7 linked regions of the Nothobranchius furzeri genome follow. The protein of the gene in region 6 interacts with the protein of the main gene of each other region in a pairwise test. Links are inferred from orthologs where the notes say so. Each region holds a gene or a part of one and is shown on either strand. Other genes may lie near its edges. The genes, in order: atf2, sox2, ark2n, toporsa, sall1a, sumo1 and etv6.

Region 1 (4,274 bases), on a different chromosome or scaffold from region 6:
ACGGCAGTTAGCGTTTACTCCGTCACTGTAGCTCATATAAAGGCTAGCAATTAGATTTTTCAATTTGCCGACCATTAGGGTTCAGCGATGGGATGAATTATTCGACCATCGGCGACGGGCTGAGCTGTTATGGTTGTTTTTATAAGAAGCAATTTGTTCATTTATTTGTTTGACCAAGCGTAAGTTTGTTAATGACAGATATTTTACACGTTACGCACAGAGAACATCGCGGAGATAAAAAAAAGAAAAGATCTCCATCAACAAAACATCTGAGCATTATCTTTCACCTTCTCCGCCTCTCGCTGCTGACAGTGTCCGCAAGCGGCACGCTGAAGAGGAGCTGGGAGAGCGTCTGTGACGCACTCGACATTGTGCGCAAGAGCGCACTGTCAAGTGGAAGCCCTTCTATCTTTCATAGTCAGGTAGACTTCTGGTTATTTTATTTGGAGAAATGTTTCCTCATTTTAAAACTGTGGCTTAAGTAGTGCTCGTTATTCAGCACCCGCTTCAAGTGTGTCAGCATAGTGAGGATTAATCCAGAACAACATTTAAACAGCCACGAGTCTGAGGCAAACGTCCAGAACCTCATAACCTCTTCAGCAAGCATCATGCAGATATTGGATTACGCACAAGCTGCAGGTGACCAGTTCAGGTTTACGTGGAGCAGAAGGAATGTGCGTTTGGGGCTGCAGCAAGTGAAATGTTCCTAATTTAAGTGAAATTATTTATTTGTATTATATGTTACTGGGGCACTCAGATCAGCTTGTTTGGATTACATTTTAATTAAGAATGAATGGAAATTGAATGATTATTATTTAAAAAATGAAATTTGTCTGCATACACTCCATTCTGCAATCACACATGGGTAAAAATAAAAGGTTATAGGTGATGATGTTACACATGACTATTACCAGAGTTATTTTACTATATATTCTATTCACACTATTGTTTGGGTTATGAGGGTATGTTTTCCATGTAAACAAACTGATGTTCACATTTCACTTTAACATTTCTTTAGTAAAAGAAATAGCTTCTGGAGATACACACAACCACACACACCTGCTCTCAAAATTCACCCTCTGATGAACGACAAAAAGCTATAAGTTTAATATAAACCTAACAACATGGCTGCATGTTCAAATGATCATACATATACTGCTGTGATGGCTATTTCAGTGCCCACGATCATTTTAACAATTTTGTCAGATTTTGAGGATATAAGAATGGAAGTTTTTTTTTTTTGACAAGTGTTTTGGTAAAGCTTTTATGCATTGAGTCATGAATCAATTAGATAAAACTCTTACATCAAACTTAAGTCATATTTTGCGAAATAACCTTGAACAATGATGCTTCAAAGAGTCTTTTATCAGTTTAATTTCAAAGAAGTTCTCAAAATCGGATTGCTTACCTGTCCACACCCAGGAGCAGTGCATTGGAAGGGTTTGTCATCACTCATATTAAGGAGTTCCTGTAACTTCTCCCTAAAATAATACAAAAAACACTTTTAACCTGAACATCTGCATTATATATATATATATATATTTTTTTTTAATGAACTGATGATCTATGAAGATGCAGAGCAACTCTTCCTATAATAAATATTTCTACTCCGATTCAGAGATGATAATATGTAAACACATGCTGGTTTAGTTATGATAAAAGTTAAAACTCCAGCTGGGGTCAGGTGAACGTTTTGGACAAAGACCATCGATAAGGGGCGGTTTCTGTAGTTGTTTACACCTCGGTGCTCTTATAAAAAACGTTTAGATACACTGCTCCAGACAAAGCACGGAGATATGTTTTAAGAGAACCGCATGTCTATTTTTACATATATCACAAAACAACTAAAGAATATATTTACAGCTAAAAGGATGAGCTACAATCCAGTCGCTTCCATGAATTAGCCTGAGCCTTGCGTTAACATAACCGTCGCCATATTTGAACACGCACGTAACGCTGTAAACAAAAGAGCTGTCAACTACTATTTCGGCTCCTGTTTTGTTACACCAAACAGAAACAGCTCACATTGCCACAAATTAGGTATATTTACCAAAGATTCGTACACAGTCGCTAGCGGTTTGAGTTGACACCTACCCCTTAGCCACAACCCTTGATTTCCAAAATCCCACGTTTTTTTCCCCAAGTATCGCGATAACAGATATTCGTTAAATGCCACATCCACAAACGATTGGGGATAATTCATTGGAGTCAAAAAAAGTATGAGAAAATAAATTACGGACCAATGTTATAAACTATTCTAACATAACGTAACTCAATTGTTTTTAGAGGAAAACAAAAACTAATATAGTCTTAAAGCGCTTAGCACACATAATTTGCATATTCAAGCAGACTGCCTTCTTCACACAAATGTAAACTTTAAAAAAATCAAATGCTAGGAGTGATGTATAAGCTCTTACAATTTAGATGTATTTAATGTTACAGAAACGCTTCAATTTGTTTGTAGCAATGATTGCTAGGCAATCCACCCACTTGAGATCCCTTGTGATTCTGTACCAGGCAGTCATCAACTTACCAGCTGCAGACAGATCTGTTTGAAGAATAAAGGCAGACATTCTTTAAAGTGATTCTTTTGAAGTCAGTGTTTAAATTGCACCTGTCTAAAGGTCAATTTAAAATATTCATGTGCCACTCATCTTTAACCCAACATAATTCTATTCTGTCAAAAAAATGAAAGGAAGCCTTTAAGTTTTGCATACAATGATAAAATTTAAAAGATCTGACAGCCAAAGCTTTCATTTAAAGTATTGGCCAATTACTTAATTCTTCCTGTGGGGAAAAAAAACAAACATTTAACACAAGTAAATCATTTGGATTTATTCAGTGCCATTACCATGCCGTTAGATCTCACTTGCTGCACAATTACACACCTATTTAACTGCAGCTTAATGACAAAATAATTCACGTGGACCCCAAAAAGCTCAGAAAACAAGGCTGATTCACTGAAAAGATGACATTCATGAAAGTCAACCCCTTCCTGTTGTGTTGGGTGATGTTTTGGACACAAGCTTCTGCAATCTTGAATAGTCAAAAACATGTATTTTATTCACGTAAGATGTTACATTTGTACAATACATGTTTTGCTGTTTTTGACAGTGTCTGAGAGACTTGAAAAATGTACATTTCTATGACACCAACAAGGAACAATTTTGGTAGCCACAATAAAATATGTAGTCACATCTGTAATTAAAGTGTTGTGGGGCAGTTTTACATAGCAAACAGGATAAGGAAAGCAACCATCAAACAGAAGAGTCCCATAGCTTCAGACAGGGCAAATCCCAGGATGGCATAGGAGAAGAGCTGCTGCTTCAGTGATGGGTTCCTGAGAACAAGAAATTGTTGGTGAATCCAAACAGAAATTGTAAAATTGTTTTAACAATAAATATTTGAAATAATTCAAACAAACCTGGCATAACCAATGATGAGACTACCGAACACAGTCCCAATTCCAGCACCGGACCCAGCGACTCCAACCGTGGCAGCTCCAGCACCAATGAACTTGGCAGCAGTGTCAATGTCCCTGCTGATGGCGCTGGTCTGGAAGCCTCTCAGTGTGACCTGAGTGAGGGGACTTGGTGGCATCACAGAAACAGAGCTCTGCAGCAAAAAAAAAAAAAAAAAAAAAAAAAAAAAGAAGAATAAAAACTTTAACATCACAAGAACCAAATGTGACAATTAGAAACTAAATCTTTGAATACATAAGAGCTAGTCCTCAGACAAAGTTATTACAAGTTACTAAGGCTTTCTAGTTAAAACCCTGTCCATTAGGGCTTCAGACACAGTGCCGATAAAATATAAACTTCAATTGCAATGCTGTGGTTTCAAAAAAAATAATGAGGGTGTGGAAAACATGCTTTCATACCTCTGTTTTAGCTTCAGGCCTGGACAGCACAGAAGCTGACAGGGGTCTGTAAAGAGCCCGGGAACCAGCACGGACCTGCATTAACAATGGACACAAGATTAAACACTTAGCATTGCTTGGATCAAGCTTCACATAGAAGGGTGTGTATTTTAAGTGCCACTCAAGAACACTTTAAGCACACACCGACATAGAAAACTGTGTAAATTAGTCAGAAATTGCACAATATTGATAGATGGGCCGCATGCTGATTGCAGGGTCTCATACTCTTATGTCTGCCACTGGTTAACATGACCTTGGAAGCAGTCAACACTGGACAGCAGATTTTGAACATTTTGAACAATGTCCAAACGGAGAAAGTGAGTTTGTGCATCCCATTATGTCAATAAGAAGTAAG
Region 2 (4,071 bases), on a different chromosome or scaffold from region 6:
ATTAAAACGCGACTTCCTGTCTGGAAGCCGCTTGGAAAACTGGGATTTATAGGAGCAAAACACAAACAAGCAGTGAAACAACACGGAAATACTGGGAAAATTATTTAAAAATGAAAATCCTGCTCAGTTGTGTCACTAAATAAAAATAGTGCCCCAGTCCAAAAAAGGCCCCCCACATACCAATTATTAGCATTTTTAAACGTATTAAGATGAAATGTTTGCCTCAACGTTTTCCTCTTTTTATATCAAAGAAGAGAAATGACAGTCTGTACCTGGGAATGTTGGGAATTTTTGCTGGAAAAACCTCTCCAGGCAACAAACTTTGTCTTTGAGGACCAGCGGGAACTGGAAGAAAGAAACGTGGTTAACCTCGACGCACAGGCTGGGAATAAAGGAGGAGCGTCCCCCCAGAAAGCTGCTGTTGTTCTCAAAAGGCAGAAATCACCCGAAAGATGCCAAATAAAAAGACGGGATGAAAAAAAAACACTCAACACACGAATTATTCAACGTGACAGAAACTGAATCAAAACTCAAACTATTTCAAGTATCCAAATTTCCAAAATTTATTCATTTCAAACCGCATATTGAAAAAAAATATACTCAGCTGAAACTGTAACTGTTATAAGGATGGTATTAGTCTGGGGGTATTTACATGGAGTGCGTGGCTTCTGCGTACAGGCCACGAGTTTCAAAATACAACTACGGGAATGAGCTTTGAAATAAAAACTTCAAATGTCACAGTAAATATACAGAAATTGTACAAATCAATAAAAAAAATAAAGAGCACAAGCGTCATGTCCGCTAAATGATGAAAAGTGGGAGACGGAAATATAAATTAACTAGCTAAAAATTTAAGTTGCATGACAGAAAAAATTGTCTCACGTTTGTTTCTCAAAGAAATAAAAGAAAAGTTTAGTAACGTTGACCTTAAATGGAGAAAAAACTGAAAAGAATAACAGTTTTACCTGCTTCTTATGTCCCTTTTCATTCCAGTGTTTGCAGTAATTCTAACTGATAAAAATTCCAATTCTGCAGTTTTTATTCATTCATCTTTTCTGCAGAACTGGCGCCGCTTTATATAAAAAACGAAAAGAAAGATGCAACCTCTTGCAGTTTAGCAATTCCCTCTGATTGTAATGTTTCTTTGATAAATACTGTACAAAAGGTGATTGCAATAATAAAACATCTGATTGCGACTCCCACTTTCTAGATTTCCAAACTCCATCCACCATTTTAGAGGGGGGGGGGGGGTCTCCTATCGTTCCTCTAGAGCATCTTCAGAATAAAATAAAAAATAAAATTAATTTTAAAAGAAACAGTGGAGTCCTTTTTTCCTGGAAACTTCTATACAACTTTTCCCACCCCAAATTTTTCTGTACAAAAATAGTCCAGCGTCTATAGTCCGCAGTTTCTCTTATAAAAGTTCTTTTGCTCTGTCTCACTCTCTCTCTCTCTGTCTGTCTGTCTCTCTCTCACATGTGTGTTAACGGCAGCGTGCCGTTGATCGTCGTCCCGGGCACGGCGCTCTGGTAGTGGCCGGACATGTGTAGCCTGGTCTGGGCGCTCTGGTCACTGACCTCGGCCCCGGGCAGGTACATGCTGATCATGTCCCTCAGGTCCCCGCTTTGGCAGCCAGGAGCGGCCCGGTGGGACGAGGAGGTGACAACGGGCGGACTGGAGCTGCTGGACTCGGACTTGACCACCGAGGAGGGCCCCATGGAGCCCAGGGTGGTCATCCCCGGCGTGGTTTGCTGGGAGTAGGACATGGAGTAGGTGGGGGAGCCGTTCATGTAGGTCTGGGAGCTGGTCATGGAGTTGTACTGCAGGGCGCTCATGTCGTAGCGGTGCATGGACTGCATCTGGCTCGGGTTGTGCGCGTTCAGACCCGGGTGCTGGTAGCTCAGCTGGTCCTGCATCATGCCGTAGCCACCGTTGGTCCAGCCGTTCATGTGCGCTGCGTAACTGTCCATGCGCTGGTTCACTCCACCGCCCAGTCCGGCCCCCACCCCGACACCGACTCCAGTGCCCATCCCGTTTCCTCCAGGAGCCAGCAGCCCGCCGGGCAAGGTGTACTTGTCCTTCTTCATGAGGGTCTTGGTTTTCCGCCGGGGCCGGTATTTGTAATCCGGATGCTCCTTCATGTGCAGGGCCCTCAGCCTCTTGGCTTCATCGATGAAAGGTCTTTTCTCGCTCTCCGACAGGAGCTTCCACTCTGCTCCCAGCCGCTTGCTGATTTCGGAGTTGTGCATTTTGGGGTTTTCTTGCGCCATCTTCCTCCTCTGGCCCCGGGACCACACCATGAACGCGTTCATGGGTCTCTTGACCCGCTCCGGACTGTTTTTCTGGTTGGTGCCGTTCCCCGTGGTGTTGGTGTTTCCCGTGCCCCCCGTGTTGGTCTGGGGAGCTGGGGGCTTCAGTTCAGTCTCCATCATGTTATACATCAGGAACAGCTTTGAGTCGGTGCTTCCAAGCCGACGAATGGAGGACGAAAAAAAAAGAGGAAGAAAGAAAAAGAAACAGAAACTCCAGGAGCCGGAGGCAGCGAGGAGCGCAGCGGCTGAAAGTTACCTGTCGGGTTGCTCTGCAACTTTTCTCTGGACAAAAACAAGCATCAAGCCGCGTCTCCACACACTCTCCCTTCTCTCTTCCGTCCCCCGAGTGTGCGTGTGTGTGTGTGTGTGAGAGAGTGTGTGTGGACAGAGAGCCTTCTCCCAATAGGTCCCTGCTATGTCGTGTCCACAAAACTTCTCTCGCTTCCTCCAAAAAGCATCAACAAACTGTACTTTTGCGCCTCTGCCCGCCTGAGCCTTGACAACTCCTGATAGTTTTTGAACAAGTTAATAGACAACCATGTCATGGCTGTCATCGAATAAATGGCTTCGACCTGGCCAATCAGAGCAGGCCTTCCCCACTGACACACCAATGGGAGGCCCTAATTAGCATAAAGAGGCGGGGCCTGTCTGCTCCGGAGCTTACGGGCATACTCTCACTCTCAGGCTGCCCTATGAGCCAAACACAGAGTACACATGTACTATGAGCATTATTGTTTCTCATTGCTGTCCGTATAGAAGCTCATTTGCGAGTGTTTTTATTTATGAAGAGTAAAACTGTGACGCCGAACTTGATAGGACGTTTATAAATAAATAAAAAGTTTTTTTTCTTGAACAGGTAGCACGTGCAAATGATGAAAGAATTCCTCAAAATTAATAAAACGACCCAAAAAAAATGACAATTATCTTATATTCAGCTGTGGCTGAGTTAGAAAGTTTTAATCCAGACATAATAATCTAATGTTTAGGTGGTGAAATGAAGGCAAATAGGCGGAAATATCTTTTAATAAGAAATACAATAATCAACTGGTGACGTTATTCAAACCGGAAACTGTTTTTTTTTCTGACTGAAGGCATGACCTTGTGTCAGTGTTAGAGAATAATCAAAAAAGTTACTAACACCCCCCCCCCTCCACACACACACACACACACACACACACAATCGGGCCCAACAGCACAACAAGACTTAAGTAAACGTTGTTAGTTAACTCAAAAGCCCTGTGTGTGTGTGTGTGGGGGGGGGGGGGGGGGGCTGGTTTTGGGTGTTGAAAGGAGGAAAGGTAATCCAAGATGTCTGCCTCCCCACCTAAAGCTTTTGTTTTGGGAAGTTGAATGCCAACACACACAAGGCAGACGGGCTCATCTCATCAGCACAAATAAGCGCGTTTTGTTTGGGATGTTGTCGCTACATCTGTCCGGACAAAGCCCCAACTCCACTCCACTGATGCTGCTGCTGCTGCTGGGGGCTTGCAGGCGGCTTAGACCCGTTGTCTAAAAGGGAGGGCTAATAAAAGGACATGAGTGTTTCTAGATTCATGTGAAAACACAACCAAGCGCGTGAGGGAGTCAGAAAAGCAGCGGCCTCTACCTGCTTCAGTTCTGATCAAACTCAGATTAATGCGACATGAGATTCTCCACAAAGGCAACACACTCTCAGAAAGCTCAACAGTCCAACACGAGCAAACTTCTGGAGTCTGCAGCGCTTGGTGCCACTTGTTTCTATTCTGACTGTCCACCTCGC
Region 3 (4,398 bases), on a different chromosome or scaffold from region 6:
ACAACATACATCTAATACAGTTTTGTCATCGTTGGGGGAAAAAGTCTTCAGTTTTACAAAGAACCGACTCTGTGGTCAAATGTCACAACATCTCTCTTTAGTGTCCACTTTTCACTGATTTATGTGAAATGTGACCAATAGATCTAAATGTAAATACGTGAAAATGTTTAAAAATTGAGATACTAGGCTTTACCCCTACAGCGACTACATGTAAAACGAATCAACAGAATTTTAAATAAACCAAAACAAACCGTTTATACTAAATCAAATGCAACTGGTACTTCAGTTGGATAAAACTGAAATCTTGAGGTAAAAAATTAAGCTGAAAAGGCCAGATTAAAGTAAATAAAAACATTTCTTTAAACAGCAAAAAAAAAAAAAAAAAAAAAAAAAAACCTGAGCTGAGTAAAACGTGACACCTGAACTCACTCAGGAGACTTGAGAAAAACAAACGATGCAAACAAACAACAAACCCATCCAGACAGTTAAATGAGTTTGCCTCCTGGTGTTTACCAGGGTTGAATGTTTTTATCACCACATCCACTCCCAGATGTGCATCATTAGGCCATTAGACACATGAAAATGCTGCTGAATATATAGAAAACTACAGGAATAAATAAAAGGCCATGTATGGGAAGAGTTCATTATAAAACCAACCCAGGACTTCTGCTAGAATATTTGATAAATAACAGGATATACTAAACTCCAAGCAGTAATTTGGGTGATGTTAATATTTATTCTTTAATTCTCCAATGAGTTAAAAAAAATTGACATGTATGTCTTATATTCTGGACCAACGTGGCCTGCTTCTATCAGTTTAGAGCAGAGATTGGACAGATCCATGACTCACTGGACAAAAAAAAAAAAAAAAAAAAAAAAAAAACAATCACTAAGTAAAAAATGATTATTGATCCATGGGTTGAACAATGACAACTAGAATTCCACAGCATGCAAACTATGAGACACCACAAAAGATGTAAAGTGACGAGTGACAGGACAACTCGGAACAACATTTCTACATTTAAAGACGATGAGAATGGCTATCGATGAATGAGAAATTAACAGGAAAAAGAAAAGGTGGTTGTCAAAAGGAGCACAAATAAAGCCTTGTCCTTATCAGAAAGCACACATTCTTTTATCAAGTTTAACTTTAGGTTTATGTTTGAACTTCTAAATTATACAAGCAATTATACAAGCAATATTATAAAGTAATGCTATTGTTTTCTATGTAAAGTACTGCGCTAGAAGGGTGTGATAAGGTAATGGGAGGTTACCTGGAATATCTGTCTTGATTGTCTTGCTGCCTCCTGAAGTATCATCATCTGAGGAGCTGGTGCTGGAGTCACACGTCAGCTCACTGTCACTGGTACTGCTGTCCTGCAGCAAGTTATACTTCTTCCGTGCTGCCGCCTCTCGTTTCTGCCTCAGCAGGCGCATACGCTCTTTGTGTTTCTGGCTCCGGGGACCTTTAACTTTCGTCAACTTGCCATTGGTTTGTTTCTCCTGCCCAGTCGCTATTGCCGTTGGCTGACAGCGGTTCTTCTTTGCAGCCATTGCAATCGGAGGCATCTCGCTCTCCGAATGCGACCGCCGAGACTTCCTCCCCCCAGAAGCAGTGGCAGATGCTTGTCTTTTTGCCATTTGCCCAGGATCGTTTACAGTTTCCATTCCACCCTCGTGTTCTCCTACAGGGGGAGCTGCCCCTTCTTCCCCTGAAGAAAGCGTGTCTGAGTCAGCCAAGTGTCCACTAGATGAGGGAGAGAGCATGCAAGGATTTGAGGAGTCACTCTCATAAATGTTGCGTGACGCTGGCTTGTCACTCCCTGTAGATGCATGCTGGGACTCGGGGGAGTCTCGGTGGAGCTCCTTCATGAGGCATGGCATAGAGAGGAGACTTTGCTCCCCTTCGGTATTTAAAGGGCTGTCAGCCTCCTTTTCCCTTGGGGGTGAACTAGTACTGGTGGTGGTTTCCGTTTTCAGGTTCTCATCCTGTTCTCCTTGAACAGAAACTATAGCTGATTGTGCTTCATCAAGGCACTCTGGAGGGCATTCAGCATCCAAAAACTCCTCTGCCTTCACTAAATCAGCCATTTTCTCCAGCTGATGAAGCCCAGAGCCCAAAGGTCCAGCCAATTTGGACCAATGTGCCTGGACAAGAACTCACCTGCTAAAGAGAAAAACAAGTTACTAACTCTAGCCAACAGTCAGTTATTTTAAAACTTGCCAGATTTCTGTTAACATAACACATGCAATTTAATTTAAATAGAGGGTTTGACGTCATTTTAAATATCAAACGTCTCACTTTAGCCAAATTTTCTAAAAATGGATTTACTGCTTAATAAAAAACTAAAGTTTTCGTCCCATACTATAATATCAAATAAATCACGCAATAATCCAACACGCATCCAGACAGTGAGTCACGTTTATTAATAACAAAAGGAAATACTAATAAGTTGTGTCCACGGCTAAACAGAAATCCGGCTTGAGCTGCGTAGTGAAGCTTATTTCGGTCATGAATCATAACCTTCGCAAATTTTGCCAAAATAACGCAAGTCGTGAGGAAGAAATGTGGCTTGCAGAGAAGCTGCATTGCAAAATCCTTTAAATGGAAGCAGTATCTACCCAACCACAGTTCTATTAGGCAGGCTCAAGTTAGCGGCTAACAGCTAATGCAGAGGTAGCTCAAGCAGCACTCAGCTGCTGTTAACTCACCACAGCGTCAGTATTTTATTCTTATCACAATGTCGGACATCTGGACATCTTCGGTAATCTTCAGACTGTCTTCGACGAGTTGTATGACCAGCACACCGCTCAAATCACTAACTATTTACAGTTTAAATAAAATCCTGCGTGTTTTTGACGTAAGCTGCTCGCAGGTTCGCAAGCTCTGTAACAATTAGCAGTTAGCTTCGGGTTTATTTAAAATGTCGCTCACAAAGCTAAACGTACTACTTCCTGTCTCTTTGTCACAATAGAGCGCCCTCTTGAGTCGTATTTTGGTACTACAGTTTTAAATGATTCCTAAAAACTGGTGAATTTATGGATTATAGCAAAAATAAAATATACAGTTTGATTCTAGAACAAGTCTTAGCACAGTGTCCCATGGCTTAACAATAACGTAAAGGCCATTAAAAATGTTGGTTTAATAGTTTATGATATAATGAATTTGATGATTTTCCATAATAAAAGCTCTAAAATAATCAAAATGTCTATTAGAAGCATTAGAAAACAATAATAATTATTATAACTATATCTACAACAAAATGATGCCAATAAACACTCAGATTGCATCTGTTGTCTGTATTTTGAAGCTCTGTGAGCTAAAATGTATTTTGAAAATATGCGAACAATATCTCGGAATTTATGCTATTTGTGAGTCACATAGAATCCATTTGTTGCTCTGCCAATACAGCATACTGCTGTTTGTTTTAAAATAGACCACTTTTTCATCTCCACTTAGATGCTGAGAAATGTATGTCCTAGATATTAAATCTGTGTTGGACTCTGTCAAACCCCATTTAGCATTGAAACAGTTATTTGAATCCTCTTTAACAAGCCACTGTGGCATAGTCTGCAAAATATGTTAGAGATTCTTCTTTTACCCGGACCTGTTACACATGCATTTTAAAGGCAAACATCATTGAAAAGGAATTAATTGTCTATCAAAGCCTTACTTACCAGGTTATGAAATATATTGTTGAGTATGTTTAGCTCTTTCAAAAAGGCATGGCTGTGTTAGAGGTTTTTGCAAAATTACCAAAAAATTGTAATTGCATGAAAAAAATTAAAGGCACTGTTTCACTATATGAGTAATGCTTGAACAAAACATTTATTTACTCTTCATATTGGATCAAGATAGAGAACTGAGCAGCTTCTCAGTACAGTTTTAGGGGCCACACCCTGGAGAACGATCTCCTAGGTGTCAATTTTGCTGATTTTTTGTTTCTTGATCATTCGCCATAACACTCTCTCCAGCATTTGACTTCAGCATGCAACAGCAAAATAATTGCTTCAAAAAGGTCTCCTCCTTTGGCTCTCTGAGTATTTTGCTGGAACAAGACAAACCGTTTTCCATGTTTAGGTCTTCCACAGTTGCAGCTGGTTTGACATTAAGGAAAGGGTTGATGTGTTCACAGGTATTTGAATCACTTGACTTGGCTTCCAGCACATTCTTGGAGCAAATGCTTTACTTTCATGAAGACTTAGAGCCCTGCTGGTGCAGGGTTCTGGATCAAGCATGCTGATAAGACTCCAAGGAAGAGCTGCTGAATCTGCTGTAGTCCACGGTGATGAAGGGATGGGCGAGGATCGCGCTCGGCATGATCTTCTCATTTGCATCCCAGTTCAGCATCGCCTTCAGTAACTCAATGCATTCCTTCCTCTCGCCTCATTTGGGTT
Region 4 (4,281 bases), on a different chromosome or scaffold from region 6:
CACGCTACCGTTCTTATCTCGTCTGTAATGGCTGTACGACTGGTAGCTGTGGTCCCCGTCCTTTCTTCTATAAACTGGGCCAGACTTGGAGAAGTCTCTGCCACGGGAGTATGAAGAATCGGTTTCAGCAGACTGAGAACTGAGGCTGCTGTTGGAGTTCTCTGGACTTCTGCTTGAGAGCCTGCGCTCTCTACTTTTTGAATTTCTCCTTTTCCTCCGGTACTCTCGGTCCTTTGGTTTATGCCGATCTTTCACTCTATCTTTGCTGTCGTATCTCCTGTTTTTCTCGTTACTGTTTGGCTTTTTGGATGTTTTGTGCGTTCTGGAGGTTAAAGATCTTTCTTTTGAATCCAACTGACGATGGCGATCTGTTTCTGGGCTTTGTCCCACCTTGACAGAGCCGCTTCTGTGTGAAGCTGCAGGGCTACAACTGGTGAAACGGATGTGATGGGGCGGGAGAGGTGCCTCTTCAGTATCCTCAATCTCAGACTCGTTCGAGTCAGAGGAGAGGTGAACCAGCTCAGGAGTCCTCTCTGCTGTCGGTTTGACAAACCCTATGATGACACAGTCCTCGCTGTCAGAAGACACACGGTCTTCCTCGTTGCGGTTACTCTGAGGCACGCCAGCTGGGTTATGTGAGCTCTGCCGGTGTGGAGAAGCCTCAAACTCTTGCATCTCCTCCTCTGAACTAATATCTGAGTCCAAGTTCAAAGGTGTCATCGCTGTTGCTTCTCTCTGCTCGGCTGAAGTGGAATATGACGGTCCAGGCGTCTCGTCGTCCCACAGAGAGTGGCTAAGAGAAGTAGGTTCCCCTGGGGGATCCACTTCTGCAAAGGTATCCTCATCCTCCGAGATAGCAATCACAGATGAGTTGGAGCTGCTGCCTTCGTTTCCGGAGGGGGCGGGGCAGTCATAGACTGCATGTTGGTCATAGGCCTCCATATTGAAGGGGGATTTTGCAAAGCTGAGGAACTCGTGTAGAAAGTGCTCGGTTCGACCTTGCAGGAATGGTCTGAGCTCTCCCTGGATCGCTCCATCCTCCATATCATAACGCGTAATGCGTGACATGATGATGTGCTGAACTATATTGACCAAAGAGCCATGGGCCCCGTACAAAACCATCAGTTCTCTCTTCAGCCAGGGGACCAGTCTGTGCAGGCAGGCTGGATTTCTTCGATAAAACTCAGCAGAGGTGTTTCGGGACCGACCGCCATCTTTCACGCTCTGAACCCTCACACCCCGTCGGTACAGTTCCCTCCTGAAGTTTATCATCTCTTGCTCTCTGACACTGTTCACCGCCCTGCCTTCCCTCGCAGCTCGCCTCTTGGCTTCCAACCTCGTCATCATGCGTCGAATGTAATGATCTCGGTGCTGCTCCAGGGTCGGGCGTGTCGCGGCTTCGAACATGACTCCGTTGTCTGGAGGAGGAGAGGTTCGTCTCGTTGCTCGAACTCCAGTGAAAGTTGTTCGGTATCTGAACCGCACTCCCTCAAAATAGCCAAAAGAGGCATTCTCCACCTGCTGTTTGATTTCATACCTCTGAAAGTCTTGATCTGACTTCACGCTGTGATAGATTGACCTAAACGGCTGTTTGCAGAGCGGACATTCGGCCTTGTTTTTGGACCACTCCAAGATACAGCGAAAACAGAACTTGTGCAGGCAGCGGTCCAAGTGGGAAATGTTGTTGAATCTGTCCAAGCAAATGGGGCACTTGGAGTCTGGCGATGCCTCTCCAGACATCGCTTTAGAGTTTTTACCTCTGGCACTGTTCTGGTTGTGTTGCAGGGCAATCTGGACTGCAGACATGATCTAATGTGGAGAGAAGAAAAAGCTGGAGTGATCTTCAAAATACAAGCTCTTACTTTAAACACCAATAAAGCCAACCTAAGCAGGCTGATTGAATAAAACGCAGTAACTAGAACAGCAAAAATATATAAACCGCTTTCCATCTATGATTAAATTATGGAATTTATTTTATGTTTGAATCATTTATTCACTAAGTTCACAGGGCTGGTGTTATTACAGATTTACATAGATCTTAGTAATAAACAATGGAAAAAGTTGTTGATTAAAATAAACTATGAAACTTTTAAAGACTTGGCTTTTTAAACTTGCTTTGCCTTATTTTATTTATAATTGTTGCTTGTTTATTTCCTCGTATTTTCTATTTTTACTGTGAAGCACTTCGTGATTTTTTTCTGCGAAAAGTGCGATGCATTTAAAAGTTACGTTTCTGCCCCATTATGAAAATATGAAAATGAACACAAACAATTCTCGTTAACCTGAACAGATTTCTACTCTAGAGGACATTTATCACCGTCACAGCCCATATTTTGTCTTTTAAGGAGCTGTAACTTTTGGTTGTCTTTCAAATAAGTCAAAACTAACTAAACGGGACAATCAGAAAGACAACCTAAAAAGACATGGCTCTTATATTTGGCAAGATAATAGAAACGCAAGAAAACGTATTAAATATGTCTTTCGGCACATTTGTTGTGTGTTTTAGTGAATGCTGACGTTGTTACGATCCCGTTTTGATTTGATGAAAATTTAATGTTGGATTAGTTTGAAAACATAAACAACCTCAACAAATAGTCATAAAAATATTCTTATTCGCAGAACAAAGCTAACTGTAGATTATAGCTGGGTTTTTGGTTGAAGCTAGCACAAGGTGGCTACGTTAGCTAGCACGGTGCCGTTAAAGTTATGACACGACGGCAAGGAGTCCGTTAATGAGTTGTAAGATATTTACCTGCGACTTTGACAAACACACATACACACCACTGGCAACGAATTAGGAGTTTCCTTCATGAATAAATCCACTTTTTAGTAAACATCTGTCAGCTAGCGTTTCACCTCCTTTCCACCGGTTTCATAATTTCAACGTTCGAACACTTCCGCTCTTCAAAATAAGAGCACTTCTTTAGACACTTCCGGTTTTATTTATAACTCAAGTGAAAAAGTTCCACTAAAACCAGGCTTTGAGGATGTCTGTAAGACTACAATAACTAACAGTGTGATTTGATCTAGCATGAATGGAATTGAGACCGTTTAAAGACTATAAAACCTAAGATGCAAATTAATCCAATTCAATCACGATCAGTAAAAAACATGATTACAATTAAACAACTTTTCAGGTTCACACACACGAGGAGGGGGGTGAGTACTAACTGCGCAGAAAAGGTGCAGCAGCAGTTTCGACCTGCGAGTGTCTCTCTGCGAGGTAACGGTGCTAATTGCGACACCTCATAAACTGATTTATGACCGCCTCATAAACACCAATCATGTTAAAATGTTCATGCAACATAATAATTTAAAAACCTATTAAAAAGAAAAGCTACACAAAACTAAATCTTATCATGAGCACAAAGTCCTGGAATAAATGATGAAATTCTTCCAGTTAAAACCCAACACCACACTCATTACAGTCAGACATGAAGAATTTTGTAATATTTTATTGTAATATACAGTTTTTACAACAGAAAAACAAAAAAATTAATCACATTTTTTTTTATTTAGTGATGGCCATGGATCTCTGGGAGATCAGGTAACACTTCGCCAGTCTCCAGAATGGTGTCACCCTGTAAGAAAGGTCAATTAAACATCTCAGACAGCAAGTCAATGACGTCAGTGGTAGACAATGATTGTACCACATAAACAGAAAACAGCTAATTAAAATAACACACGTGTATTATTCAGAACTAGTATATATGCTATACTCACAGGTAAAAGCTTGGGTTTCGTCTCCACAATCCCATATGGTTTTGTCTGTGGAGAAAATGTACCTTTTAGCTAGTAATCCTACTGATCACACAAATTAAACTTGAATCCATAAACTGAGTGAGACTGTCTGATTATAGCCAAGAAACAACTGAAGACACAGGAAAAAGTCTAGTCCTATCCTGCTTAATGGATGAGTGAAAACCAGGTGGAGAAACGTGCTACAAACACTGCAAAACTTTTGGGGAAACTTACAGCAACGTGATATTTCACATAGTAGTGAACAATCCAGCCAGGCAGGAGCAGACGTGTGATTGTGAAAACTCCACCTTTGTATGCTTTGTAGGTCTGCAAGAAAACAAACAAAAAGTTATAGAAGCATGTTTAACTGAAACTAAAAAAATGTTCTCATCACAGATCGGATTTTCCATCCACTTTTAGATTAAATTCAATATTTAATTAATAACATTTAAAGTTTTAAGCAAACTGGAGTTATTTAACCAGTCTTCTCTTAATTCACGCGCCAGTTGACAGAAGCCTATTCCCGCCACTAATTAAAAA
Region 5 (4,421 bases), on a different chromosome or scaffold from region 6:
TAAATAAATAAATAAATAAATAAATAAGACTCTTTGAGAGAAATCCTACATTGTTTTTTTCTCCGAGGGGGCCTCTGTGAGCGTCTGGTAACTTCAGGAGGGTTTCTGCTCACGTCCTCTCCGGCCCTGCTGGACTCATCCCACCGAACACTAGATGGGGTTCCACTAAAAGCCGCCGTGGTTCAGGACAAGACTGGAATCTCACCAGCTCTGGCCCGGCGACACGGTTTAAGCTTAAAGGGGAGGGAAAAAGACAAAGCGAGTCCTTCACTCCACACCTAGTCTCACATAAACTCTGGCAGCTTGACAGGCAACTCAAGTCTTTCTTTGAAGGAAACAACAGTGTCGGGGGTGGGGCGGCATTTTCTCTTATGGAGAAAGGGGGGGGGGGGGGCACTCTGATAGGGACACGAGGGGACAGGCACTGATAAGGCTTCAGGGCCGAGGCCTTCTTCTGGGCCGCCTGCAGCTACGACAGGAGCCCGCTGGGCCCTGGACCCCCACCGCCTCCACTCAGAGGGGCACTGGCAAAGGTTAAAACAGCTCAGCCCCCACCCATCCCCCCCCCCCCCCCACGCGCTGCTCCTGACCTCCCACCAGCAGCATCACAACTTCAGCACAGACACAAATGACTTTCTGTTCCACTTCTACATCCCACAACCTTCAGTTTCAGCAAAATACCTCCAAACTCTCTAAACAACATGTCCTGTAATCACACACACACACACACACACACACACACACACACACACACACACACACACACACACACACACACACACACACACACACACACACAAACTTTATTAGATTTGAAGAAAAATGCAGAGAAAAACACACACATCAGTTCTCAGAGTCTCTAAATAATCACATGACCTGCTGTTGTACCTTCAGCATTCCCAACGAGCTGCGTGCGTTTTCCAGGTTATTCCAACATTTACTTAAAAAGGCCTGACAGGAGCTCTGCAGGAAAATACTTATCTACTTATTTAATGTTTGGCTTTTAAACTGAAGGATGCTAATTTAAATGTTTTAGACACATTTTCACGTAAAAGCCAGTCGACACGAGCACAGCGTTGTAAGGTTGTGTTTTAATTTATTAAATCAAAGTTTAATGGAGTTTTTTTTTTATTCTGTCAAATCAGAATAAAATCAGATCAAAATGAACATCAAAACATTTTGAAGCAGCGACAGGTAAAAGTTCGGCTGCAGGCCTTTTTCAAATTTGAGCCAAACTAAAATGAAAGACGCGTTTTATTTCATTTGGAAGGAAGTCGTTATTGCAGTTTAATACAAAATAAATGCAAAACTTCGCTATTTATTTATGGTTTGAATTCATTTCGTTTTAGAATTTTTTTTTTATTTTAGAACACAAACGTGACTGTGCGTAAAAGTGCTTTAAACTCTTCTTTTGTTTTTGCTTGAAAATAATAAAAATGCGGCAGAAAAAAAAACACGTTTGCACAAATTTAAGAAAAAACTGTTTTTTTTCGAACAAATTAAACAAAACAAGCAAACAGAGAGAGGGAGGCTTTGTCGTAACAGACGGAAGAGGACCTTAACGCGCAGGACTGCAGCGCGTGGCACGGACAAGAGACGTGCGTGTCCCGGTAGGAGCGACACGGAGGTCCGCCTCGGCGCACCGACACCGACCGCTGCTGGGACGGAGAGCACCGAGCCTTTTATTTAGTTTTAAAATAATAATAACAAGTTTGAAACTTTTACCAAGAGCAGTGACTAATAATAAAATAAAATAATAATCTAACATGACTAATGATAGATTTTAATTCTAAACTATTTGTTTCAATAAAAAGTAAAAAAAAAAAAAAGAACAAAAACCGAACTTTGTTTAAAAAGTAACAGCTATTTCCATCAGGCGGCCGGTTTAAGCAGAAAGTTATTAATAATAATATTAATCATAACTCCAGAGTGTCACGGGTTCAACTGAAAGTGTGAGAAACTCCCGAACCCGGTCCGGTACCGGCCGGTCGGGAAGAGAAGCAACGCTCTCGGACTCACCATTGTGTTCCGGTGAAGGCAGAAGCGGGTCGGACTGGAAGTGCTGCGGCTTCGCTTGTTTCCTCCGCGACATGCTGGCTGGCACATCAGCAGGCAAAGAATAAAAAAATGACTTAAACCTCCTCAAAAATTACGTAAACGGAGCCCATCCACCGCGCATGTGCCCCGTTATGATTATCAATAATGCCGTGCGATTAATCATACAGGGTGGGGGGCGGAGGCGGGTGGGGGGGGGGGGGGGGGGCGCTTTGAACGGCGATTGGCACCTCGCCAGCCCCCCTCCTATTCAAATGAAGTCTCTTTAATCAATTAGCTCCTGATTTGCTGGACTCTTGTCTCTCTCTCCGCTCCCACCCAATGAGTTGATCCGGACCGGGAGGAGAGGCTGGACCCTCCAGCTCCCTGCAGACACGGTTAACCCCTTGGGTCGGGCTGATCCTGATCCCGAACACTTCAGCTTCTCAAGTCCGAGTCTTCCATCGGTCTAGTGTTTGCTTGTTCTCTCTGCGGGGTTGGGGATCCTGGTGCCGACCCAAACCGCCGCCAGCGCAAGGAAACTTTCAGCCCGTTGAGCTCGCTGGTCCCGGATCAGCTGCCGCGTTCAAACGGTTCGGCTCTCCGTCGGAGGAGTTTCAGAACGGGGGCTGCCGGTCCGGTTCCGTCCGGTGCACGCAAAAACAGAGCATGGTCCGCACTGTAATCGGCACCGCGCGGTTCCCAGAAGTCCAGAATGAGCGCGTGAATCTGCGTCCCTCTGATGAGTTTTTTTTTCTTAGAGAAAAACTGAATTTAATTATTATCAGCGGGAAAAGGGACTAACACGTTTTCATCACGCACTGCGTTCCGCGAATAAACAAACTTTCAGGGCCCGTGCGGCAGTGGGACAGTCCAGAGCCCCGCCCACCGAGCGCCTGATTGGTCAGCGGGCTGCTCAGTCACCTCCAGCCCTCCCTCCATCTCCTCTTCTTCTACCCCATCCCTCTCCCTCTCTCTTTCTCCCTATATCTCTCCCCCTCTCTCTCTCGCGCGCGCTCTCTCTATTCTGTCTGATTGCAGATCCAAACGTGCCGCGCGCGCCGGGATGATGATCAGCGGAACGAGACAGCAGAGAGAACCCGGTTCTCAGAACCGGATCTGCTCACCTGAACGGAGACAAGCAAAGCTTTTAATTACTTAAATAAACTTTTTAGACACAGAAAAACAATCACAAGTTCCACGTGTGGCAGAAATATCACCGAATTAATGTTTAAAAGATGAACTTCCGGTTTTTAAACTATATAGTAAAAAAAAACAGATTATTTAGAAATGTTGATAATTCTAGACCCTGAAATGAAGTGTGTGAATATTGTCATTACGTCTGTGATATTTATAATAATAATAATAATAATAATAATAATAATAATAATTATTATTATTATTATTATTATTATTATTATTATTATTATATTAGGGGCTGCAGCAGGAGTTGGTGTGGATGTTTTAAGAGACCAAAGAGGTCCCGCGGGATCTTGGCTGAGTGGAGTAGATTTATTACCTGAAAAAGATAAACGAAGCTCTCAGTCGGACTGATTTTGAGAAATGAAGATAATAATGTTACTATAGGTGATGCCTCGGATGCCATTATTTCTCCCTGAATATTTAAAGAGCAGCTGCAGGCTAGATGGATCTGGTCCACTCTCGTGTCAGCTATCTTTTAGTTTCGACTAGCCTCACTATTTACTTATTCATGAAAACAGGAGAGAGCAAAAAAGGGAAAATCAAACACCTCTGAGTGAATTCCTCCCACTTTTCTAAAGATCGTTACAAATATTTGAAGTTTTAAAACTCATAAATGCTGATGGACGTGCAGAGAACGCTGCGTCCATCTCCAGGCGGTCACTAGTGGACAAGCGCGCGCCGGTGTAAATATTAAATGCAGCAAGAGGAGTATAAATAAATAAATAAATAAATAAATAAATAAATAAATAAATAAATAAAGTTTAAAGGGGGGAGGGGGGTGCGTGTCCCGAGTGGGAAAATCAATGAGGAGTTAATTGATGTGAGTGTTGGTGTGAGACTGTAAACAGGCTGATTTGTGGCGCAGCGACGTTTTAAACGGGATTCACGGAGGAGTCAAGAGATCAAAGAAAAGTCCTCACATAGAATATTTTATCATTTATTTTTCGTTTGTTAAAACTCATAAAAGATGCTCTGGAGGAACGAAAGGGCATCAAAATGAAACTTTTTAAAACAATCAAAGAAAAACTCAGAAGGTTTATTATCCTGTTAGGTTAGTCAGAGAGGAAAAGAGACTCATTCTGGTGGTTTGAAGCTTCGACGCACAGAAAAAGGTGCGCATTTTGCCGTTTACGCGCAATCGATACCGTGCGCGCGCCATATCAGAGCGGTGTGTCCCAGGTGCC
Region 6 (4,100 bases):
TACAATCACACATATGACGTCTGATGTATACAGGGAAACGTGTTGCATTAAAAAAATCACACACCCTATACGACAAGGCCAAAAGGATTTCTGGATCTTCCACAATGGCTCAAAGAACTTTGGCTCATAATATAAAATAATGTGTTTTCCAAATCTATTTAACTTTAAAAAAAAAAAACAAATGCAGGTTTAGGCAGCATTTCAGTTTTTTAAGGAATAATTGCATTGAATATCCACAACAGTACTTATTTTTACATCTATTTGTGTTTTTTACATCATTTTTAACAAATATCAACATCCAAAGAAAAAATAGTGATACTGTGTACGCACACGTTTGTTTTCTAAATTTTATAACTTAAAGAGCAAGTCACCCCCTACAAGAAACTTACTTCACTCCCTCTTCATGTTTGAAAAATGCAACAAATGCTGTTGCCTGGCAGACCGAGAGGGCGGAGCCACTAACAAATACACACACAGGCTCACAACGGCATTGTGACATCATAAGGACCAGTTTACATCATAGCATACCTCTTAGCCAATAGCGATGGCAGATTTAGATTCTAATGCAGTGCAGGGTTTTTACCTGACAACGGCACAACACTGACAGTTTTAGGCAGAAAATTACAATTTGAACTAAAATGCACTAAAGTACAAAACTATTGACTACACGTGTCTGCAGCGTGATTAGACACACTATATAGTTTATCAGAAAAAAAAAGTTGATTTGGGGGTGACTTGCTCTTTAATAGCAGAATCTCTTCAAAAAATATTTACAGAATATGACAAAATATATTTCTGATTATAATCTCAGGGGGAATGTCTGAATCCTGATTTTAATCTCAGAGTTTTGTCTCTTTTTTTTCTCAGAATTCTGAGGGGAAAAACTGGTTTTTCAGTGGCCCAATTCTCTAAAAGAAAAAGAGACATTCAACAAGTTTTTTGTAGTTCATTGTACCAGTTTTTACTGCCTTAGTTTTAGTCTCCTTACACCTACTTAGTCATTCCTGACTGACCACATTATTTCTCTTCTCAATGTTTCATTGATATTATGGTAATTTTCCAGCTTTAGTCTTCAATGTTTTCTTTTTATGTAACCCTAATGTTCATTTGTGTTTTTGTTTTGTCTCTTTATTTATCTTTGGTGTGTTCTTGCTGTGTTTAGTTTCAGATTCCATCTTTCAGTTCTTTTTAAAACACAGAAAAGGTTTATTTACCTGCAACATTTCGTTTGCGGCTGCAAACATCGTCAGGCTGACGCCGATGGTGGCGTCACTTCCTTCGTTTATCCGCGGGCAGCAGAGGACGTTGTCGCCCTCGTCCTCTGCTGCCTGCTCTCCCCTCTCCGATGATGCAGTCCCATGCGCGATCCAACGAGTAAACTCCATCAACTCTGTTCATGGACCCACATCCATGTCTCCTTATCTCTATAGCGTCTTTTATCCATCTTTTGTTTTTCTGTTGTTTGGTGTTTATGATCCTTGTGTTGTCCCAGTCCATTATGTGGGATAACACAAGGATCATAAACACCAAACAGAAAAACAAAAGATGGATAAAAGAAGCTATCGAGATAAGGATGTGGGACCATGAACAGAGACGATGGAGTTTACTCATTGGCTCGCGCATGGGACTGCATCATCGGAGAGGGGAGAGCGGGCAGCAGAGGGCGACGATGTCTTCTGCTGCCCGCTAAACGAAGGAAGTGACGCCACCATCGGCGTCAGCCTGACGATGTTTGCAGCCGCAAACGAAACTTTGAAGGTAATGAAACCTTTTCTGTGTTGTAAAAAGAAGTGAAAGATGGAAATTGTCTCTTTATTATAAAGCACATTGAGTTGCCTCTGTGGAGGAAATGTGCTATAAAAATAATGCTGTCTTGTCTAATAAAATTACTTTTTACAGAAGGATTCTGCAACAGCTGTAGTTGTAAATAAGTGTTATTTATTGGGGGGGGGGGGGGGGGGGTTAAGGTTGCAGACCCCTGGCCTAGACTAAGGTAAGCTGCATGCTTCTCTAGCAGCATTTGCGTTGTTTTACAAAAAGTCTAATGATGTAAAATAATTTGAGAAAATGCATAAACAGTAAGAATTGCAGCAGTTAATACCAATCTGGACATAACTACAGCCAGTAAATTCAAACTAAATTACAAAATGAATTTAAAACCATTTAAAAAAATGGTTACATGGAGGGCCGTTATATAAAAAGAGTTAGTGAATCAGTAAATAAGCAGGAATAACCAGACTAAAGCCATCTCACTAGCTGTAATGATATTAAAACCTACCTGACCAATCACTTTTAACTTTATATACTCGCCATCCTTCTTATCGCCGCCGTCTTGACTGGATGGTTTTGTCTCCTTAAAAATAAACAAACAACATAAACAGCACAATACAGACACGCACCCACGTTCAAACAGGCCTGAGTGTTCACTTCGAAGGTTTGTTTAACAAAATCGCTCATCTTTTTGAACGACTTGACTATAAAATATAATAACACGCAGTTTCTGTTGGACATTTTAAAAAATAACAGCAAAATTTTTATCTAAAAGGTCAAAAAAGAGCTGTGTTTTGTGTCCCTGAAGCTACGTTAGCTGGCTAGTAGCATGTTAGATAACCAAACGAGCCTAAAAAAACAATCAATTTGTGCGTCTTCTGAACAGTTCCGACAGAAGATTTGTTGTTTTCCACAAACACTGGGGTCTTACCGTGTCTGACATTTTCTTATTTTCTGTGTTTTGGCTCAAATTTCCTGACAATAGATGTACCTTCAGCTTTCCGCTGCAGCTCTCGTTAGATGTTATGGGAATTCGACATTAGCCGGAAGTGACGAAAAGACGTTTTTTCACAATAAAACTCCCTTCAGATTAGAGAAACAATAGTATTTTTTATATTTTTATGCTGTTGTTGCGCTTCTAATGAAAGCAGTGAACAACAAATATTTTTAAATAATATTTAGATAAAATGTTCAAACTATCAGAAGTAGCAATCATTGTCTAAAAGTAATTATAATCATTTGCTCATGTAAATTCAAACAAATTGCAATGAATAAAAAAGTCTAATAATCATTATTACTGCATTTATCTGAAAAATCATACAATGAGGCGCACGTTAATATGTTGATCCCATCGCAAGACACAGTTTTAGTGTTATTGATCTGAAGTGAGCGGTGTGTTTAAAATGTGATCAAATTAATTCCATCTTTTAGTTCTTTTTAAAACACAGAAAGATTTTATTTACCTGCAACGTTTCGTTTGCGGCTGCAAAACCCAGGTAAATAAAACCTTTCTGTGTTTAAAAAAACTAAAAGATGGAATTAGAATTTCAACACAGCAAGAACACACCAAAGATAATCAAACGAATTGTTCTTCTTGCAGCAGAATTTTGCTGTTTGGGAATATAAAGTGGTAAAATTATGCGTTGAATGCACATTTACACATAGTGTTTAATGAAACAATTTAAATTTTATCATAACATGACTGGATTTGACTGCAAATAACTGAACTAAATTGGAATTAATAGGGGTCAAGTTAATCACTACTGAATGAACTTGGACCAGCATGTAATCAATTCAATTCAATTCAAAAATACTTTATTAATCCCAGAGGGAAATTGATTGCTGTAGTAGATCAGAATAATAATAATAATCAAGCCATCAAAGATTTGTTGTATATTACAATGGCTGTTGGCAGGACGGATCTCCAGTAGCGGTCAGTGTTGCAGCGAAACTGAAGAAGCCTCTGACTGAAGACACTCTTCCGTTGTCGGACAGTCTTGTGAAGAGAACGCTCAGGGTTGTCCATAATTTTCTTGATTCTCTGGAGAATCCTTCTTTGCATTATCTCCTCCAGCGGTTCCCGAACAGCCGAAACTCTGGCTGAGTCCTTGAAAGGGCTTGGAGTTCCTCCATCTTGTTGACCAGTGATCTCACATTGCCCATTATGATCGATGGAAGAGATGGTTTGAATTTCCTCTCTCTCTGTGTCTCCGTTTTGCTCACGCTCTGCACCCACGCTTCTTGCATTTTAGCTCATTTGGGATTTGTGGCTTCAGTTGAGGTATTATTTCAGCCTTTCCAATGTTAATCAGCTGCTCCCGATTGTAAAC
Region 7 (4,197 bases), on a different chromosome or scaffold from region 6:
CCAGAAACCTCAGCACAAAGTGCGTTCGTTAATCTGAGCAGGCATGACGAACAAGGGAACGGCGCCGCTAACTCAATTCGGGTGTTGCGTTCCACCCATCCTAAGAGTCTACGTAAGGGGAAGCGTATTACGTGAACGGAACCATCCGATTGGCCACATATCAGAAGGGCTACATTTGATTGGTCAAATAATACTTCCGCGTAAAAAACAGCTGGTTTACAAAAAGCTGATGTATGACACGGATGGAAATGTTTGAACCAAACATTTATCGCCGATTTTGACGTGCTTTGTGATTGGCCTATCGCACGTCCTGTTATTGCAATGACGATAATTTTTCGATATATTGTGCAGCCCTATTTGACACCAAATTTAAAGGTGCTAAAGAGATAATGATAAACACTTGCCCGAAGATGCTCTGAGCACAAACACCTAAAACATCTGATTTATGCATTTACTTAGCAGTCCTTCTCTCTTAACAGATTTCTTTTCCTACAAATGAAGAAACCACTAAATTTTTCTTGGTGTTTTTTTTCTTTGTTTTTGTTTTTCCCTCCAGTTTCAGCTTGCCACTTTGAGACATGCATACCAACAGACTGTGTACCAGGAATTTCCCGTGGAAGCCAACCAGTAATCTTTCAGTCCCCTATTTCCTCCTTTAACTGCACAAAGGCCCCTTCTCTGTCTTTCCCTTCACTCAAGATTCAGCCATCAAGCAGCTCTTCAGCTGGGTCACTTTGAGAGGACAAGCAGAAGTAAGGACTGATGTCTAAAGGTGAAGTGGAGCTGTCCTTGCTATCGCTGCTGTAGGTGGTACTTCTCAGAGTCAAATACTGATCATTGATCAGCAGCCCTGCACTTACAGCTGCCTCAGTCATTTGAATCCAACATAAACACGACAATTCATTTTGAGTCACTCAACAGCTTGGCACTACTTTCACATATTTGAAGCTGATGATAAACATTTCCATCATCATAAAGGTCCCAATCAGAACCCGATCTGATAAGAAACCTGAAAGCAGAGTTAATGAAATAAGCGAAACTCCACAGGAATAAATTGAGATCTTTAACAATCTTGTCTGACAGGTTTCGCCACACTAAATAAAAGTTAAGTGATGGTAAACAGAAGTAAGAATCAAGCACGAAGATCCTCGCAGTTCAAGTTTAGCGCCCTGTGGAAGTCTAATGGCCCATAGCAGCTTCAAACTAAAAGTTGAAATGAATTAAAATTCAAAATAAAGTTAAATCAGAATATTTCGAATCTAACCTAAACATATAAAGGTAGTCCTGAATGTTGAAATCTACAAATAAATTTGGTTTTGAACAAAGTTTTTAACGTGGAAATTGTTACTTCATCGTTAGTTATTAATATAGGTAAGCTATTTCTGTTCTGCAGCAGTCTGAATTATCATAAAGGAATTATTATTATTATTATTATTATTATTAAATAATTAAAAGACCACATTAGCATTTGATGTTTTAAAGTAACTTTAAAATGTACAAGTTGGACATTGTTATGCATTCAGATTTTATATTATTTTTTATTAATATATTTTATTAAAATGATTAGACGCTTACACCTGTTTTTTACTGGAATGAGAACCTGAATGCGACCAAATGTAGCTGTTACGGTCAATAAAACAAAGCTGCTGAGTTACTAAATGAGGCTGCTAAATTAAGTGGTTAATTTTAGAAGCTACAATACTAATTGTGGCTAAATAAGTTATACTAAATAAGACTAATGGTAGCTGCTACAATGCTAAGTAGTAGTGTTATGGTTTACTTGGCCAAAGGCACCCCACTGCTATGGGTTGTTTTAATTACTGATCAGTGAAAAGATTGGTCAGACTGCAACATCGCAAACATTATTTACATGCCCCAGCCGAGATACTAAACAACATTCTGATTCTTGATTTTTCATCACTTCGATGACACATGTCACCACTCGGCTAGTGGCTGGTTTGTTTATTTTGGACAGCTGGCTAGGCTAAAGTTAAGCTAAACTAAACCGGAGTGGAGAAGAGCGGCTACCTTTTGTTGGGTTGAAATCTGTCTGAGTAAATGTGTGTGTTCTTGTTCCAGCACGCTCCCTCCTTCCCCCGCACCGATGCCCCGCACGGACACGAACACTTTCAGCTGTTGGTAAACCAGTTACCAGTCACGACTTCTTCCCGTCATCCTCCGCGAGTGGAGGCGAGCTGAGCGCGTGCGAACCGCCGCGGCGCGAGCAACAGATGACCAAAACAAACTGCTGCTCCAGCCGAGCGCCACCGAAGGCAGCACGGAGGAGAGAGCTCGGCGTAGCCGGGGGTGTTACCTTTACCGCAGCGGAGGAGGATTCGGACATGATCTCCCGTCAACTTCTCTCCCTTCTCCTTCCACTTTTCCGTCGTGCACTCTTCTTTCTCCGCTCCGCTCACGCAAACCCGCACAGCTGCAGCAGCGAAAGCCGCGCACCGACTGCTCGGCTCCTTGTTCTGGGAGAAGAAGTTGTTTTTCTCATGTAGCCCGCTTCTTTTCCCTTTTTTGTTCAAGGTTTGCGGTCCGGATCCATGGCGTGGCTCGTCGGTGTGAAAACTTCTTTTGTCTACGTGTGTGCGCGCGCGTGTGTGTGTTTTTCCTTCACATGTCGCTGGTTAATAATCCCTTCCTGGAAGAGCGAGACACCCCTCTCGCTATGTGTGTGTGTGTCTCTCATTGATCTGGATGTGTGTAAAACGGCGAAATGACGTGAATTCCCAGCAATGAGCCTTGCCCCCTTTTAAAGGGAAACCCGAAGCAGGAAATCGCAGAAGTTCGCTTTGCACACAGCTACAAACAGACACACAAATACAAACATAGACTGCTTTCTATTTATTTTTTTAATCAATGCTTAAGGCAACTACACAATAGGCTTAACCACCACGGGTTATTTTTTTCTGCAATTCAGCAGCAAATTAGAAGCTGTTGAAACAATGCATAAACCAGTTTATTGATTAAGAAACAAAACTTGAGATGATATTGCAAACTGTTTGCTTTAATGCCTGTGCAACTTTGAAATTTGTTTCCATCCCGAGTAATTTAAAAGCTCAAGTACAGACTAGACTAGAGGAATGTTTTGACCTTGGTGTGGGTGTAGTGTCACCCTTTAGCCCAGTCTCGGAGCTGAGTGTGCCTGGTGGGCACGACTGCATTAGGGACCTATAGGAGATAACATTGAAAAGCCACAAGCTTGTTTTAAATTGGACCAACCTCTGAAGCATGCAAAGGCAAATACAGGCATGGTGCAAAACGCATCATTTAAAGCATTCCACAAATTCCTTCTAATGCTCTTGAAGTTCATAAATCCATTTTCTTCAACTTATCCAAGGGCAGGTTGCAGTCTCAAACATCCCTTACTACATCCTCTAACCATCCTTTTCTGAGGGCAATGCAACCCCTCTGGCAAGTCTGCCATGGAGTATCCCAGTGGGACTTACCTGGAAAACTTCTAGGGAAGGCAACCAAGATGTATTCTAATTAGATGCCCAAACCATCTCAGGGAGCAACGAGGGATGGTGGAGCTTCTCTCTATCTCTCACCCCTACTTCATACTGGAAGCATCAGCGGCGTGGAACAGCGCTGCGTAAAATTAGAATCCATTATTGTCTTTAAGGGTGATTAAAACCAGCCGTGACGTGGGCATTTTCAGGCAGGAGAAGTAGCAGCAAACCATGCTGCTAAAGACAGGATCGAGCTCTATTTTTGCCGCGTGCCGCTTTTGGGACACGACAATTTCCGCAGTTAAAAGGCCTTACATACAGGTTCAGTGTAAAACCCCCGGTAATTTTCAAAATAAAAGATCAGTTGCCTTCATTTGAACCCTTTTGGATTAAATGGATGACAAGAACCTTCACCAGCAAAATAAAAGACTATTGCAGCGATGCAATTTCACATGTAGATTACGTCAATACGAGTGACCTAACGGCTCATTTACTTCCAGCATTGTTCCAGAAGTGCAGCTGTGATTTTTTTCATGGCTTTAATCCAGGCAGTGGAGAGGAGCAACATTATATGACATCAAACAGCGATATCAAACGTGATGTCCTACTTTTAGGTGGCATAAACTTGAGGGGTTTTGTGATCTCGCGAGTTAAGTGAGGAGGATGCTGGGAGTCTTGAGGGATTTTGTGATCTCACAAGCAAGCCATTCCGGGGGGGCCAATACTCCCCTAGTGTGTA

Evidence for each region.
Region 1: the proteins of sumo1 (region 6) and atf2 interact in binary tests that used the Homo sapiens proteins (3 or more experiments, as listed by UniProt). The two-hybrid records come from large-scale screens. The link is inferred for Nothobranchius furzeri from reciprocal best matches to the Homo sapiens genes SUMO1 and ATF2.
Region 2: the proteins of sumo1 (region 6) and sox2 interact in binary tests that used the Homo sapiens proteins (3 or more experiments, as listed by UniProt). The two-hybrid records come from large-scale screens. The link is inferred for Nothobranchius furzeri from reciprocal best matches to the Homo sapiens genes SUMO1 and SOX2.
Region 3: the proteins of sumo1 (region 6) and ark2n interact in binary tests that used the Homo sapiens proteins (3 or more experiments, as listed by UniProt). The link is inferred for Nothobranchius furzeri from reciprocal best matches to the Homo sapiens genes SUMO1 and ARK2N.
Region 4: the proteins of sumo1 (region 6) and toporsa interact in a two-hybrid assay, tested with the Homo sapiens proteins (2 studies listed by BioGRID). The link is inferred for Nothobranchius furzeri from reciprocal best matches to the Homo sapiens genes SUMO1 and TOPORS.
Region 5: the proteins of sumo1 (region 6) and sall1a interact in a two-hybrid assay, tested with the Homo sapiens proteins (2 studies listed by BioGRID, with this or other methods). The link is inferred for Nothobranchius furzeri from reciprocal best matches to the Homo sapiens genes SUMO1 and SALL1.
Region 7: the proteins of sumo1 (region 6) and etv6 interact in a two-hybrid assay, tested with the Homo sapiens proteins (2 studies listed by BioGRID). The link is inferred for Nothobranchius furzeri from reciprocal best matches to the Homo sapiens genes SUMO1 and ETV6.

Annotation. Positions count from the first base shown.
Region 1 is NC_091754.1:21,239,859-21,244,132, forward strand, and holds the start of atf2 (cyclic AMP-dependent transcription factor ATF-2), read right to left. Parts: upstream 2,824-4,274; 5' UTR 2,204-2,823; coding exon 2,064-2,203; exon of another isoform or gene 2,051-2,063; intron 2,030-2,050; exon of another isoform or gene 1,862-2,029; intron 1,482-1,861; coding exon 1,409-1,481; intron 1-1,408. Other genes in the region: atp5mc3a (ATP synthase membrane subunit c locus 3a), read right to left, coding at 3,226-3,340, 3,425-3,615, 3,881-3,955. UniProt on the Homo sapiens protein: Transcriptional activator which regulates the transcription of various genes, including those involved in anti-apoptosis, cell growth, and DNA damage response.
Region 2 is NC_091748.1:72,770,784-72,774,854, forward strand, and holds sox2 (transcription factor Sox-2), read right to left. Parts: upstream 2,930-4,071; 5' UTR 2,442-2,929; coding exon 1,473-2,441; 3' UTR 550-1,472; downstream 1-549. UniProt on the Homo sapiens protein: Transcription factor that forms a trimeric complex with OCT4 on DNA and controls the expression of a number of genes involved in embryonic development such as YES1, FGF4, UTF1 and ZFP206. Binds to the proximal enhancer region of NANOG.
Region 3 is NC_091746.1:60,556,009-60,560,406, reverse strand, and holds the start of ark2n (protein ARK2N), read right to left. Parts: upstream 2,936-4,398; 5' UTR 2,713-2,935; intron 2,168-2,712; exon of another isoform or gene 2,165-2,167; 5' UTR 2,092-2,164; coding exon 1,275-2,091; intron 1-1,274. UniProt on the Homo sapiens protein: AMPK substrate important for exercise capacity and skeletal muscle function.
Region 4 is NC_091746.1:80,962,458-80,966,738, forward strand, and holds the start of toporsa (topoisomerase I binding, arginine/serine-rich a), read right to left. Parts: upstream 2,892-4,281; 5' UTR 2,753-2,891; intron 1,810-2,752; 5' UTR 1,807-1,809; coding exon 1-1,806. Other genes in the region: ndufb6 (NADH dehydrogenase [ubiquinone] 1 beta subcomplex subunit 6), read right to left, coding at 3,516-3,581, 3,724-3,768, 3,976-4,068. UniProt on the Homo sapiens protein: Functions as an E3 ubiquitin-protein ligase and as an E3 SUMO1-protein ligase. Probable tumor suppressor involved in cell growth, cell proliferation and apoptosis that regulates p53/TP53 stability through ubiquitin-dependent degradation.
Region 5 is NC_091749.1:71,173,806-71,178,226, forward strand, and holds the start of sall1a (sal-like protein 1a), read right to left. Parts: upstream 2,879-4,421; 5' UTR 2,093-2,878; coding exon 2,020-2,092; intron 367-2,019; exon of another isoform or gene 50-366; intron 1-49. UniProt on the Homo sapiens protein: Transcriptional repressor involved in organogenesis. Plays an essential role in ureteric bud invasion during kidney development.
Region 6 is NC_091743.1:83,214,177-83,218,276, reverse strand, and holds the start of sumo1 (small ubiquitin-related modifier 1), read right to left. Parts: upstream 2,851-4,100; 5' UTR 2,714-2,850; coding exon 2,702-2,713; intron 2,354-2,701; coding exon 2,279-2,353; intron 1-2,278. UniProt on the Homo sapiens protein: Ubiquitin-like protein that can be covalently attached to proteins as a monomer or a lysine-linked polymer.
Region 7 is NC_091741.1:61,795,109-61,799,305, reverse strand, and holds the start of etv6 (transcription factor ETV6), read right to left. Parts: upstream 2,884-4,197; 5' UTR 2,345-2,883; coding exon 2,315-2,344; intron 2,296-2,314; exon of another isoform or gene 2,029-2,295; intron 1-2,028. UniProt on the Homo sapiens protein: Transcriptional repressor; binds to the DNA sequence 5'-CCGGAAGT-3'. Plays a role in hematopoiesis and malignant transformation.